Linked DNA regions of Lepisosteus oculatus. The protein of the gene in region 1 interacts with the protein of each later gene in a pairwise test. Links are inferred from orthologs where the notes say so. Each region holds a gene or a part of one and is shown in the gene's direction. Other genes may lie near its edges.

Region 1 (7,681 bases):
ATTTAAATTTGCTGAAATGTGCTAAATTTGAGAAGGATTTCTTCGTCTTCGTTTCCACAGATATTCAGAAAACAACTGCGACATCCGAAGTGAGAGACCGCTACGTTCAAGAAAATCAGAGTTCAGCATCTCTGGAGGTTTTCTTAAGGTTCTCACTTAATTAGAATAATGACAAAAGGGCTTCTTTCAAGTGTGTTCTTCCTGTAAATGTTACTGTGCTTTAGTCGAGCACAAATAATAAAGTGCTTCTCAGGAAGAGAACGTTGGAGAGTAGGACACAGGGTGTAGTCTGGCAGATTCTTTAGTTGATCGCCCAAGGAAAGGCTCCATGGGGTGACCAGGGCATGTCCTAGTTGTGTCAGTACAGGAGGTTTCAGGTTCAAATCTAAGCTGAGCCACTTGCAGCTCATCCTTTTTTCCTGTGAAGCTGTCATCTGCAGCCCTCATCTCTTATTAACAGCTATGGAGCTGCATGGCAGCACCAAATTGCGAAAGAGGCACTCTCTGAAAGAGGATCTCTGAAACGAACGGATAATTTTACAGCACGTTCTCTTGAGAAATGACCCACCTGCTCCCCCATCTTGGAAACCGCTGATATGGAGTGTGTAGCCATCCACTTCGGCATTGACTGCCAGGGGAGAGAGGGAGAAAGAGGAGTAACTGGCATGGGCTCTACCCCCTTCGAAGTCCTGCAGGTCCACCCTGAGCTCGTACTTCTTCCGCAGGGTGAGGAGGTGGATGGTTTCCAGCCCTGCGGAGAGGTCACAGATCAGAGGACGGTTACGATAAGTCACACCTTGCTGCCTGGCTCTATTCATCCGATGGCATTCATCTATAATTTCTGTTCACAGTCACCGACGTGAAATCGGAAACATTCTCACTTGTGTTCTTTCAAAAATTAATGAAATGCTGTACTTGTAGGACAAGAGAATGGTTCAATAAGCCCCCCCCCCCTCTGAATGCAGACTACAGCATGGAAACAGAAAATGCCGTGCAGTGTTCCTGCTCAGAGAGGTTGATTGTGTGGGAATTAGACGTGAGCTCTGCACGGCGAGGCTGCCCCTGAGCGAGAGTGCTATCGGGAACGAGGAAGGCATTACCCAGCCAGTACTCCCCAGCCGCGTGGCCAAACCCCCTCCTGTATTGCTCCCAGCCTCTGTAGAAATTCAGCGTGCCATCTGTCCTTCTCTGAAATACCTGCAGACAAGAGTTCAGGTAGAGTAAGGGAAAGCAAGCCAGCCGCAACCCAGGCAATATCGAAATTGCTTAAAAAGCAAAATGCGGACATGATTCTCATCTATAACAGTATGTGTTTAAAATTCCTATGAATGTAATGACAGTGTGTGGGATTACCGTCATCCCTGGGTTATTAAAGATGCAAGGAAATTACTTTTTTGATGCACATGACATCTTGTTTCCCACAACTGAATAGAGCGCATAATAAAATGAAGTGCAGCTCCTACAGCAAAATTCAGAAAGTCCAGCAAGCTTGTCTGGCGCCGGTCAAGCTCTCCTTCAGACACGGAGTTTGCAGGATGGCACAGCGCCCCCCCCCCCGCAGTTTACAGTCCATTTGCCCCCCTCGGTGTCCATGTCACAGTAGACGTAGACGGGGGAGGTGGATCCGGCAGGGTATATTCTGTACACCCCGCTCGCTGTGGAGCCATCGTTGTAGATGTCAGCACAGTCCAGGGGCTGGAACATCAGAGGGTGAACTGCTGCTGGCAGCAGGGCTGCGAGGAACAGACAGGCCTGGGACAGGGGGAGAGAGGTCAGAGACACACGGCAGGGAGCACCCTTAACCCTCATCCTCGCTGGGCGATGAATATTGTTCTACGCTTCCTTTGTCTTGGAGACGTTTAAAAAAGCAAGTCTGAGCAACCTGTTTGGAGCATGGTATGGGGTTTCAGCAAAGTATTTTTCTAAGTAATTTGGGTAGGGGAATAAGAATTGAAGTGTAGATTTTATTTGATAAAGAAACAGCACACTTAATCTTGTGTCAGGGCTAAGGAATGACACCATCATGGTATGACACAGAGGTTGTGGGTTGCCGCAAAAGCTCAGTAACCCAGTAAATGTCATTGGCCTTGTGTTGCAATTTTATAAGGCAAAGTGTGAAAACGATTTTTCGGCTCACCTGGAGATCGTACTGACGTTGCAGGCAAAATACAATATAAGGCAGTTCGGAATGAGTCCTTAAGTGTGGGTTTCACAGAAGAGGGGGGTTAACCCTGCCCACCTGCCTTGTGCACACTGGGCGGGATTGACCCTTGTGAGGATGGAGGTCAAGGCCATTCATCTCTCAAAATGAGTCTCCAGGTCCCTTCTCTTACCTTCTGCAGTCACAGGAGCGGTGAAGTTCATAGGAGCGCTCTTACCTTCATTCTGCGGTCTGCACGGCTTACAGCTCATGTCTGTGCACCCGAACTGCCCTTTTTTATAGCCCCACAGAATGTGACAGGAGGTGTGATTCGCAGGGCTGAACAAACAAATACTGTGAATAAGTCACCTGTTTGCGTTGTGCCCTGAAGGACAAGTTGCTTTTGGTAAAGGGGTGTGTTGCTGGGCCGTCAGCATGCTGCTGTGTTTCCCACCCGCTGGACAGCTTCGCTGGGCATCTGTTCATTGCTGGGTGATCGTTAAGCTCGTTAATCTCTCCCGTGGCTCTGTGGGGGAAGAGTTTGTGTGCGTTGCTGTGCAAAGGCTTCATGGAGGTTCGTCTTTCCACCCAGAGATCCTGAACTCTCCTGACGTCAGGCTTTCTGGGGGAAGTGTAGGTCTGGCAATCTACAAAAAGAGGTCATCTTTTCAAGGTGGCCAGGACGCACGCGGGAAGGAAGAGTAGTCTAGACCACAGGCTCCCCGCCGAAAGGCTGCGGGTTGGACTTCTTCTGCAGACGTTGTTGCAGAGTTTGCAAAGTCCAGCCTCCCCTAGTGGTGTCAGCTGGTGATGCAGTTTCGCACCCCGGCGCCTGAGGAGGGGGCAGCACTAGGGGTGGATGAGCCGGGTGGGACCCCTCCTCTATGGGCCGAACCCTGGGATAAATGCCAGGGCTGGGGTAATACCCTCGAGCGCACCACTGCTTTTCCAAATCCTCTTCAACTCCATCCGCATTCTTCTGCAGTGAACAGTGCTTTCGTCCTGCTTCCAGTCAATAATAAAGACGTAACTCTGTCACTTAGCAATTGGTGTTTTTATTGGTTTAATTTTCAGCGTGGTTTCGAAAAAAATCCTCATGAATGCATTTTTCACATTGGTTTTCAGGTTGGGAGACGACATGCATTCAAAAATTTAAAATCACTTGCCTTTAAGGTGCACATCAGTTCCGCATATGAGCTAAAATTGCTTTTGACAGTGAGTCGAAGAGTGGGGTGTACAGGAAAATGTCTTCACTAAATGCATGAAAGGTTTGCATCTCAGGGCTATTTTGGGCGAATGCACAAACTGTGCAAGTGAACTGAAGAAGTGTTGTTGATAACGAGGGCAGGAGGACATTTGTCTGACCTTCTTGCACAGTAGCGTGTTGGAAGTGTAATTTCCACTTTTTGCCGCAAGATGGAGCTTTCTGCACATCACGCACATCCCAGATTCACAGTGCTTCGTACTTCACAGAACATTAAAGTTTGAATAGTTTACAAATTAGAAAAATTGACGAAAAAACTTTAAAACACACAGAATTATCGCGTATTTACATTCTATGAAGATATTCAGTATATTTCCAGTCACCCTTCTTCTTTGGTTGCTTGTAATTTATTGATCAGAGTGTCTCAGCCGGCAGATTCATAATTGTTTACTCATCATATATAATACCGCCGAGCGGGTTGTTCCAGACACTCACCACCCTCGTTGTAAAGAAGCATTCATCTCGTCTGTATCAAAACACATCAGTTTTCTGATAGCTGTTAGTTTGTAATCTGCTATGTATGTCGTGTCGCCGCCAACCAAATCGGATTTCACACGAGGGATGGCCACCTTGACAAACGCACGACAGGCTCTGTGGATGGTAATTGTTGTTGTGAGTCTTAATTGAATAATGTCCCCTTCATTGTTCCTGTGGATTATTATGATCGCATTTACCTTCTTTCAATCGCGTTTTTAAAGCAGGCTCCAGCTCAGGTTCGTGGTGTCGTATTCCGCGCCACCGCTAGGCGGAGCTGTGGTGAAGCTCCTATCGTACCTCTCCAGGTGGCTCAAACTCAAATCCGTCTTCTACAATCCCGGGAGCTCGACTGTCCCACCTAATCTCTGTGCGCCCAAAGCAGATAAGACGTCTCACACACAAGCACTTCGGTATTTGCTGTTACTCGTGAGGAAACTCACGTTTCCCACCGGAAGCACGGAATCGCTTGAGCCAGCGTATACAATGAAATAAGAGGCTCATCTATCCCTAAATTAAAACGCACAAAAGAGAGTAGAATCGTATATTAACACAATAATACCGAAGTGTTTGTGTGTGAAACGTCTTGTTATTAAACGAAAGGGTACAAAAATAAGGTATAAAGAGTTATTTTTACTCTTTCGTTTAATAATACGACTTTCCTTAATCGTATTTTTGTTCACTGTTATTAAAAGCAGAGTGATAACTTTTTCCAGTTTTTGCGCGTTAATCGAAACACGGCAACAGCGATAGGAAACGGCTCCAGCCCCTGGTCTGTAGCTGATAGGCGCGGCAGCAGAGCGCACCGCCGAGTCAACACGGGGTCGCCTTGCGCCGAGCAGGAATTACTGCCCGGCCCCTTTAAGGATTGAGGATCTGGGAGTGACGCGGATACGAGGGCTGGAACATCCCACCTCGCTTTGCGACTGCGAGACGAGGCGCAAGAGCGAAGGGAAAAAATGTTTGATGTCGCTTAATCAGGGAAGAGTTTATCCATCGATCTCTCGGTTTTGTAGCGCTCATATATCGTCTCTTCGGGATATACTGTGCGGCGGGTCGTGACACTTCTGGACTCCTGCAAACTCCCAGGCGTTGTCGCGATGGACTGGGGCACGGACCTTTGGGTAAGTTTAATCCTCTTGCTATTTTTTACTTTTGTACTGGAGTTGAAATGAGATGCATATTTTTTTTCTTTTCTTTGAAGTTTAACCGCCCCCCCCACCCCAGCACAACACAACACAACACACGCGCAGCTCTTTTGACTAGAAAGGCGGATTTCGTTTTGATTTTTCATGCTCTGCTGGCTAAATTGGCGAGCCTTGTCCAAAAGACTTTTATAAAGTCGTTCAACTGAAAAAAAAACAACAACCTCCAAATCTTTTGTTGTTCTTGTTGGCCCGGATACACCCCATCAAGTTGATGGGAGTTACCTCAATCAATTAAGGTTACCTTAACCTTAAACAGTGTCCGCTTTTGTGTTTGTTAGGGAAGTTTTTTTTGGGTCAGTGGGGTACTTAATTGTAGGCTAGGTTGCTGCTCGTCTCTTCTGTCTTTGGCGCAAAATAGGTCAACATGTTAAAAAGTTAACGTTGGCTCTTAACGTGGTCAGTAAAACGTGCTCTTTATTATAAAGGGTCGGCGTGGGTGCTGCCGTTGCCTGCCCTGCAAACACAAAACAGCTGACCGTGATTTTTTTTTTAATCGTTCAATAAAGCCGATCCTATTTTAGATGGGATCGAATCTGTACGATCATACGCACGCAGAAACTGTAACTGTAGAAGAGAAAAAAAACACACAACCTTTCAGGCCACATATTGAACAGAACACGTATTGCGGCTACCCGGGGCTCGCCTTGTAATTTGCTAGATATTTTTAAATGCGCGGCGAGTCCAAGTCCGCCGCATCCTGCGCGCTGCGTGGATGTGGGCTTGTCGTGATGTAGTAGCCTGCAGGGCAGACGCGTCCCCCGTGACGAGCTGCAGCCCCGATCAGTGGTTACAAACGCGACACAGCGCAGGGTCTTCTTAGACCGTCACCCTCTAATTAAGTCGCACTACCGCTGGGCCGAATAAGTCTCCTCTTGCAAGGCGGCGTGAGTGTCCCGACAGCAGCATGTTTTGTCACTAAGGTCTGTGACATGGTACATTATGTAAAAGTTGTGGGAGTTTTACTTCCGAGCAGTCGTCAGACGTCTTGCTGGGTGAAGTTTTTCGGACGTGTCACGTTTTTTTTTTTACCCCTGCGGGCGGTCTGGGTTTGGCCTGTTAATTGGCCCTCGTTGGGCTCCGTGTTGCGAGGTTAATAAAATTGTCTTTTTCGGCCCGTTTCCGACATCGGATCCCTGTTATTGTTATTATTACTACTACTCCTGCTGTGCCGGAGAGGAAACGGCGACTCCCAGTCATTTCCCTTGTTCGTGCCTTGCGCCGTACGTGATGCCCAACTGCGCGCCCGGCTTCACCCTGGATGTCGCGGTTTCTCGTTTTGTCTCCACGGACTGTTACCTCTCCTCCGAACCACTGGGCTTATTCTCTCGCCTGGCTTCAAGGGTCAGGTCCTAAAAGGCGGCAGTGGCGATTGGGGTCTGAAGTGTCTGGAGAGAGACTGGACCACAGTTCCCACACCAGTGCCCTCAGTATCCTGGCTGGAGACGCTGTGCTGTAGGACGTGAAACCAAAGTCCCGCCAACTTGGTCATTAAAGATCCCAGGGCGCTCTTTGCAAATAAGTAGAGTAAAAGTTAAAAAAAACTGGCTCAAGGACCCCCCCCCCCCATGCCCTGGATAAATTCCAGCACTCTGGGCTTGAATAGTTTGGCCTCTCAAAAGTTCCTGCTTAATGCAGCTGGTGGAACAGTTCCTCACTCGCCTCCCCTGTCAGTCCAGTGAGAGGTAAAGTGCATCACTCCTTCCTCGGGACGCTCTTTGGGTTGGAATGCTCTCTATAATCGCAGGTCATTTTCATCGAAGGGAGCATCAACAGTGCCAATCGGCTGTGAAGGGCTGGTGAAGTTCACACTGGGGCAGCTTGTCGAATATAGAGCAACCTCAACCCGCCAGCACCACTCCCCCCCCCCCCACACACAAACAGGTCAGGGGTCAAAGGAGGTCAAAGGTCGCTATCCCTTCAGTGCAGAGCTGGAGCTGCTGACTGTCCAGCCTGAGGAGATGAGATTTAAGACTTAAGAGAGATGCTCTGAGCTGACTCCGGGGTGCAGGCAGGAGTCTGGAGTCTGGCTCGGCTTCGCCTTGCATCAGGGTGGCCCACCCCTCCATGTCAAAGAACTGTTCGATATTGAATCAGGCGCTGAACTGACTGGAGCAGATTGTTTTCCCCCCTGTGTTTATGAGCACCAGTGTGGTTCCACTGCTCTTACCCCCTATAATAATAATTTCTTACACTTAGTGCTTTTCTGGACACTCCACTCAAAGTGTTTTCCTGGTAATTGGGAATCCCCTCCACCACAATGTGCAGCCCCACCTGTCTGACACAATGGCAGCCATAGTGCACCACTTGGGGAGGAGAACAGAGTAACGAAGGGGAATATTAAGAGGGCGTGATTGGTAAAGGCCAGGGGGGAAATTTGGCCAGGACACCAGGGTCACAACCCCCTACTCTTTACAAGAAACACCCTTGCATTATTAATGACCGCAGAGACTCAGGACTGCGCTTTTTAGTCTCATCTGAAGGACGGCGCCTTTTTACAGTATGGTGTCCTCACCACTATCCTGGGGCATTAGGACCCACACAGACTGCAGGGTGAACGCCCCCTGCTGGCCCCACTAACACCTCTTCCAACACCAT
Region 2 (7,602 bases), on another chromosome or scaffold:
TGGCCGGTTCTGCCGGCTCTCTCTCTCTGGACCCGGGCCTGGCTGGCTCTGATCTGGTCTCGGTCCGGCAGGTTTGTGGGAGCCCTGTCCCCGCCTCACTCACGCGCCTCTGTGGCTCTCTCTCTCTCCCGCTTCTCTGTTTCAGTGAAAGAAGAGGCCGAAGCCAAGTCCAAGCGCTAGGGCCCCCCCACCGCGACGGGGAATTTGGGGGTGGTGTGATGGACCGGTGGGTGGGGGGGTGGGAGGGTAAGGCTTGGGGTGTCCACAGTCTGCCCACCCCCCCCTTCACTTTCCTCTGGCAGGCTGGGTGTGGGGGGGTGCTTTGTGTGGCGGGACCGGGGTGACTTGGGGAGAGGAGGAAGAGAGGAAGGACACCCCCTGTGCTGTTCAATCCCGGAGACTAGAGAGTGACCCCCCCCTCTCCCCTCCCCTCCCCTCCCCCCCCACGCACACCACCAGCTCCTCTTCAGTTACTGCTGCTGGAAGTGTGTTCATTCCCAGTTTCTTCCAGAGTTTTTAATGGTTTACATCTGTGGGGGGAGGGTCTGGGGGTGTGGGGACAGCCGGAACCGGGACCAAGGGGAACCAGCGCCGCGATCCGACTTCACCGCCGACCCCTTCCTCCCGACCCCGGCGCGGGGGGCGGGGTCTCCGCCGGGAGAGCTGGGCGGGTGGGAGGCGGGGGGCCGCCATGTCCTGGTGGGAAATCTGGTCTCCGGCGGCCCCTGGCCCTTCCGGAATCTCCCCCTCGCGCGGCCGGCTGGGATTCCTCCGGCTCCCGGGACGGCGGGGCCCGGCGCCAGCTGGTGGCAGTCCGGGGCCGACGGCTCTGCCGGACCCGCGGCGGGGGGTCACTGGGGGGGCTGGGGGGTCTGGTCTAGCTCTCGCTGCTGTACAGTCCGGGGGTGGGAGGGGGGGGTCCGGTCTGTCATGGGGAGAGCCGTTTGACCTGCGGTGAACGGGGAGCAGGAGCCTGATCGAGCTCTCCTCCGGCCGGCTTCCTTGACCCCCTGCAGTATTACCGCCCCCTGTCCGCGCCGCAGGGCGGGCCGGGCGCGTCCCACACAGTCATCCCGGGGGGTCCAGCTGCTCCTGCACCGGGGATCGAGCTCCACTCTGATGCCAACGGAAGACCTGTATTTTAATGTAACTTTAAGCGGCTTTCTCTTTTCAAGACTGAATATTTAACTTAATACAAGCCATCTGAGAAACTGGTTTTGCATTGTGTTGGACTTTTTAACTGACTGAGACGGGCAGCGGGGGGGGTTTCTTGTGTAAAGAGAATAATAAAAAATAACTGAGAATGCTGCTTTTATTTAATTGATATCTAATTCTTGGGTTTATCCTATGCCTCCACCTCTTCTGCGGCTTCCTGTCTTTTCTGTGCAGCCCAGAGAGTGGAGGGAGTGTCTGTGTGGGTCTGTGCAATAATCAAGTTAATTGCACCTGTGCCTAAGTGGGTGCAGTTTTGAGTTTGTCCACCAGGTGGCACCGTACAGTCACAGAACAGGAGTTCCTCAACTGCGGAAGCAGGAGTTGGTCTTCCAGGCCTCTGGAGGGTCTGGAATGGGCTTCTAGTTAAACGGGTTTGCAAAGAGGGGGGGTTTATTACATCTTTGAGACTTGATAAACCAAATGTTTTGGTTTGCGAGAAGTTATTTTTAAACACCATGGTGCTGGGCTTGAGGTATTTCAGTTATGCAGCAAGGGACTGAAGTCGGGGGATGTTGGTCCCTCCAGCAGTTAAGGGCCGGACCCCCGTTCTGCTTGTTCCCTATTTCTATTTCAATGAAAAAGAAGGGGTGAGGCTTGTCTGCCTAATGACCGAGGGGCCGGTTTTCAGGCCTGTGTTTTATTCCCCACTTGGTAAACTGGTGCAGAGTTTGGCTTAAGCGGCGCAAAGCTGGAGTGTCTGGAGCTGGCGGGGGTCCGTCAGGTGGGCTGGGAAGCCGTTGTGCAAGTCGCTGACAATTGCAACACGCCCTACGCTTGGGGAAGTTTTCCCTTGCGTGATGCAGACGCTCTCGCCTCTGGTGCGCGCGCGTCGCTGGGCCTCTCCGAGCAGCGCTGCAGTTGCCGCAGGGCCTGTGGTCCGGGGGGGTCGGGGGGGGGCTGGAAGCGAGCTGCTCCCGTTTCCCCTTTTCTCAAGTCCCGTCCTCCTGCGGCCTGCTGTCTGCCGAGAAGGAGGAAGAGCTGCCTGTGAGAGCCGGGTGGCTGAAGCCTGTTGCCAAGACTGAGTGCGATCCCTCAGATGCAGTCTGGGCACCTACAGGACCTGCCCTGAGGGGTGGAGCTATAGAACCTACAGGACCTGCCCAGAGGGGTGGAGCTATAGAACCTACAGGACCTGCCCTGAGGGGTGTGGGGGCGGAGCTATAGGGCCTACAGGACCTGCCCAGAGGGGTGGAGCTATAGAACCTACAGGACCTGCCCTGAGGGGTGGAGCTATAGGGCCTACAGGACCAGCCCTGAGGGGTGGAGCTATAGGGCCTACAGGACCAGCCCTGAGGGGTGTGGGGGCGGAGCTATAGGGCCTACAGGACCGGCGCTGAGGGGTGTGGGGGTGGAGCTATAGGGCCTACAGGACCTGCCCTGAGGGGTGTGGGGGCGGAGCTATAGGGCCTACAGGACCTGCCCTGAGGGGTGGAGCTATAGGGCCTACAGCACCTGCCCTGAGGGGTGTGGGGGTGGAGCTATAGGGCCTACAGGACCTGCCCTGAGGGGTGTGGGGGTGGAGCTATAGGGCCTACAGGACCAGCCCTGAGGGGTGTGGGGGTGGAGCTATAGGGCCTACAGGACCTGCCCTGAGGGGTGTGGGGGTGGAGCTATAGGGCCTACAGGACCAGCCCTGAGGGGTGTGGGGGTGGAGCTATAGGGCCTACAGGACCTGCGCTGAGGGGTGTGGGGGTGGAGCTATAGGGCCTACAGGACCTGCAGGACCTGCGCTGAGGGGTGTGGGGGTGGAGCTATAGGGCCTACAGCACCTACACTGAGGGGTGGAGCTATAGAACCTACAGGACCTGCCCTGAGGGGTGGAGCTATAGAACCTACAGGACCTGCTCTGAGGGGTGGAGCTATAGAACCTACAGGACCTGCTCTGAGGGGTGCACCTGTGCTATAGCACCTGTTGTGAGGGGCACAGGGGTGGAGCTATATCACCTACACTGAGGGGTGCAGTTGGTCGTGCTCCAGGTTAGCTTCAGTTACTCGTCATGAGTACGCCGCAGATGAGGGCATTGTGGCCGTAACGTAGCCCAGAGTTTCAGACGAGCTGCATTGCTTGCTCTTGAAGTCCTGCAGTCCCCGGGCAGCGAGAGCTGGCCCCGCACAGGCGGAGTAGAAATGCCTGTCTCAGGTCGGTGCCCTCGGTCAGTCACTCCCACGTCACTGACAGTTTTACACCCTTCACGCTGGCTGCTCTCCTGGCGCCCGGACCCCTCCCACAGGGTGCACAGTTCCAGCTCGGCGGAGGGGCAGCTCCCTGAAGCAGGCGGGGGCTGGGGTATAAGGGCAAGAGGGGCAGATTTCTGCCGCTGGCTTCAGGGTGGGGGCGGGAGGGGAGATGGGGAGGAGAAGGAGAGAGAACGGGGAGTGGGAGATACCAGCTCGTATCGTTGTCACGATATGGTGTCAGTTCTCAGCTTCGCCTGCCTGCTGCTGCTCAGCCTGGTAACGGCCTGCCTTCTGAGAAGCCCTGTGCTATTTCTGACGGTATTGTGCAACCCACAGAAGCAGGGGCTGCTCTTCGAAGCCTGCAAGTCCCTGAAAAGCACAGAAATTGCAATAAAAAAAAGGAGGGTTGGCCCTCAGTGCTCATAGCTGCGTCGAAGCTGTTGATGGCACTACTGATCTGCCCGGGAGAGGGGTTCTGTCTGTTCAATCAGTACGCTCACCGCTCGGCTCTGTGGAGCTTTCTCTGGTACATGGTTTCCTTCCTCATGAGGCCTGTGGCGTCTTGTACTGTAACTGTAGCCCAGCGGCACAGTTCGGTCCCTTCTGCACGTGTGAGATACACCCTGGCAGGGAGTGAGACAACATCTCGCCAGTTACAGCCGTGTGACATCCTGCCTGGTGTGGGGGGAAGGACCCTGGAGAGTGGAGCGTCTTCTGTGTGTGTCCACTTCCTGCTGCCTGTCTGGACTCCCCCCAGGCCGGCGGCCCCCGTTCCTTTCTCGCTGGGGCTGTGGTCTGAGGCCTCCTCGCTCCCTCTCTGCCCCTGCTGCTCGTCTCACCTCGAGCAGGCCCAGCGGGGCCCGGTTCCGCCCCGTTGCTAAGTCTCAGGAAAGACCGGGCTTCAGCCATGCGTGCGTGCGTGTTTCTCTTTTAACCTTCACCGAACCCGAGACCACACAGCCTGCTTAATTTATCTTAATAGGCATGCTATTATTAAAGGTGACTGTGGTCAGTCGATTTCCCCTCCTGCTCTGAGCAGAAAAGGCGGTAAACAGTGGCGCGTCCGCAGCTTACAGAAAGGGGGTGATGTGTCAGGGCGGGTGGGTTTGTGATCCTGCCTGAACCCCAGTTCTATGGACACCCCCTCCTCCCTGTTCGCTCTTTCTGTTGTTTTCTCGGAGCGAATGCCTCTCTGCTAAAGACGTTGCTTTCTGCTCTGCCATGAGATCACCGAGCTCTCTTCCTGTTCCCCGTGCAGGGCGACTTCCTCTTTTGCAGTGACTGCGGTGCTCCGTGTGCGTGTGTGCGTCTGTCTGTGTGTCTGTGTGTGTGTGCAGGCGTGCGCGTCGCCATTCAGCAAGCAGGCGAAAACAAGAACTAGGAGTCCGAGCCGCTGCCGGGGGAGAGCAGAGCAGAGCGCTGGGGGCTGGGGGGGCCGGAGAGAGCAGTTAAGCGCAGAGGCGGCGGAGCGGGGCTGGTGGCTCCTGGTGTCCAGCCCGTCCAGACGGTGGCCGACCCCCGAGAGAGAGAGAGACAGACGGACGGAGAGAGGCTCCTCTTCCAAGCCATCATGCTGAAGCAGCTGAATCGCATGAAGCAGTTCACCACAGGGGGGAAGTAAGTCCGGCCGCCGCCGTGCTACCTGTTCTGCCTGCTCTGGGCGACGCCGGCGAGCCGCTCGGGTCGCCCGAGAGGTCCTGGGAAGGGGGTCTGGTTTGGAGGGGCTCGCCTCGCGCTCGGTCCCCTTTTAAAACATCCTGCCAGCACAGTGGGCCTGGGCCTGCGCTCTGCCCGAAGGGCCTGGGCCGAGGGGAGTGGGGAGCTGATGCGTCGAGCTGGCTGATCGTCCAGGTGCTAGAGAGGAGGGGACAATACTGACACTCGCGGGGCGAGGGAATTCTGGGGGAAAAAGATGCCAACCCACTCTTTCCCACCTTACCCCTTGAGCTGTCTGTGGTAAGTTAGTTAGCCTTTAATTAGGGTGTTGTGCAAACCTGCCGTCTGCGCTGGTGCCAGAACGGCGTTGTCTCCGGGGATGTGTGGAGTCCTCTGGGAGCAGGATGGATTATCCCAGGGCCCAGGAAGCCCCGGTGACGCCTGGAGCTGCTGCAGCCTGGCTGACACTGCGGTCTGCACAGCACAAAGCAAGAGCACTTTCGTGATCCCCTGCTGCCACTTCTCCAAACTGCAGTGCATGCTCGCAGGGCTTGCAGGCGCGCAGGCTTGCAGAGATCCGCTTGCTTCAGTCAACTTAAAGACGCACGAACCCCTCCCTGCGCTCTGTGTCATCTGTGGGAACAGTTTTAAAGTGTGTCAGATGGCCAGGGCCCCGTGCTGTCTCTGAGTCCGTGCTGGCCCGGACGAGGGAAGGAGTGTCGGGCTTTTCTGTTTCCTTGCAAGTCTCCTCCTCCGCTGTTCAGATCCAGGTACCTGGGCTGGAACTGTCCTGCGGAGCTGGCCTCTACTCTGGCCTTGCTGCCTGTCTGTTATCGAGTCAGTGACCAGTCCAGGCAGGCAGGAATACTGGGGTCTTCGGCCCGTGACGGGCAGTGTCTGCAAGACCAGGTTCTGGGGCTGGAGCTGTTACCTGGACCAGGACTGGGGCTCCTGACTCCCAGACAGCTTGAGAGGAAGAGGCTTGAACTCGTTGGTCCTTTATCATCCCTCTCTCCACCTGGCGCTGCACCAGGTGATGATTTGATCACGGACCCAAATACTTTCACAGTCCTTAACGCCGGCAGAGGAGCCCTTGTCCTGAGCTGCCAGCTGAGTGGAACCGGAGGCGTCTGTCGGAGCTCGGACACTGGGGCTCTCCGGGGCACGGGGTCAGAGCCTGAGCCACCGGACACTCGTCCAGGCTGACCGGCCGGCTGCCCGGGGCGCGTGATGAGTCACGTCATTGTGATTTCTCACATGGCCGCCCTTCGGTGCTGTTGTTCGCTGGTCTCCAAAGGGTGGTGTTTACAAAACGGTGGCGCTATTTGACGTCCTGTGTCCCGCCTACTGGTCTTGAAAACGGCCTGTCGGAGGGGAGCAGCAGCTGGTCCACTCCATCATCATCATCATCATCTTCCTCTCCCTGGCCTTCCCCAGTCTCTGGACTCGGCGCCAAGTGCGTCCGTGCTTAATGAGGTCATTCTGCTGGTCCGTGTGGCACAGAGAGCATCAGAAAGGTTAGAGACAACAGGAGGCCATTAGTCCCATACAGCCTGCCTGGTAGCTAGGAGCTGATTGATCTGAGGATTGATCACATTGGTAGGCGCCCATAAACCGGCATTGATGAGCAGTCCTGCCCCTGAAGTGTGGGGCGCAGCTCGGTCTGGTTCGGTGGAGAACCGGGGCGCAGGTGCCCTGGCTGTCACCCCAGCTCTGAGCTCAGCGGCTCAGCCGGTTGACTGAAGCGAAACCCCGGTGGTTTCTGGGGCGTGAAACAGCTTGCCGAGTGGGAACCTGCGCGAGGAGCTGCACGGCTCCCGGGTCGAGCCTCCGGAGCCGGGCCGTTGGCAGATCTGCGGAGTCGGGGGTTGAATCATTTCTCCCCTGGGGGGGACTTCTTCTCCAGCACAGCGGCTACAACAGAAACAGGCGCCCAGCGTCCCGAGTCTGTCGCTGTTCCGCCTGCGCAGTACCCTTGCCATGCGAGTTCACAGTGGAGGGGGTGGTGCCTCCCCTCCTAGTCCTTCTGCACAACCCCCTGCTGGCAAAGGGCGATTAGACCGTTCGGAGTGGCCCCCAGTCATTCCTCTGCTTGTCTTCGCTGATGCCCCCGGCCTGTTGTGCTGTAAAAGCAGTTTACAACATCCATGGTCCCAGACGAGCAAGACCGTGAGCCGTGTAAGTGGAGGACCCTGAGGTGCCCCCCGCGAGCCAGAGGCAGCCACGCGGCGTGGCCGGGGCTCGGCTCAGGTGATGTCATCTTGACAGGGCAGCTCGCAGAACAGTGCAGGAGGCTGAAGTGGGTGGCTTTTATTAATAGAAATATCAAAACCACTCGCACAATGAAACAGTAATAAAAGATGCGTGATCTGTGACCTAGATAGAACAGTGCCTGGTGCTATACATATATTCTGCACACAATGCAGGGCAGAGGAAAAAGTTTCAGCTTATCTTTCAATTGCAGGATGTCTTTTAAAGTGTTTCATTACCTTAAAAACACGAGAAATTGTTTTTTTTTGTAAAGGCTAACGTGGAAAGTGAAAACATTGGAAA

What was found. The genes of interacting proteins can lie anywhere in the genome.
Region 2: the proteins of trip10a (region 1) and sh3bp1 interact in binary tests that used the Homo sapiens proteins (3 or more experiments, as listed by UniProt). The two-hybrid records come from large-scale screens. The link is inferred for Lepisosteus oculatus from reciprocal best matches to the Homo sapiens genes TRIP10 and SH3BP1.

What each region holds. Positions count from the first base shown.
Region 1 is NC_090706.1:15,204,458-15,212,138, reverse strand, and holds the start of trip10a (cdc42-interacting protein 4 homolog), read left to right. Parts: upstream 1-4,665; 5' UTR 4,666-4,978; coding exon 4,979-5,002; intron 5,003-7,681. Other genes in the region: microfibril-associated glycoprotein 4-like, read right to left, coding at 569-751, 1,101-1,197, 1,567-1,752, 2,510-2,710. UniProt on the Homo sapiens protein: Required for translocation of GLUT4 to the plasma membrane in response to insulin signaling. Required to coordinate membrane tubulation with reorganization of the actin cytoskeleton during endocytosis.
Region 2 is NC_090707.1:38,318,120-38,325,721, forward strand, and holds the start of sh3bp1 (SH3 domain-binding protein 1), read left to right. Parts: upstream 1-4,589; 5' UTR 4,590-4,963; coding exon 4,964-5,010; intron 5,011-7,602. Other genes in the region: pdap1a (pdgfa associated protein 1a), read left to right, coding at 146-180. UniProt on the Homo sapiens protein: GTPase activating protein (GAP) which specifically converts GTP-bound Rho-type GTPases including RAC1 and CDC42 in their inactive GDP-bound form.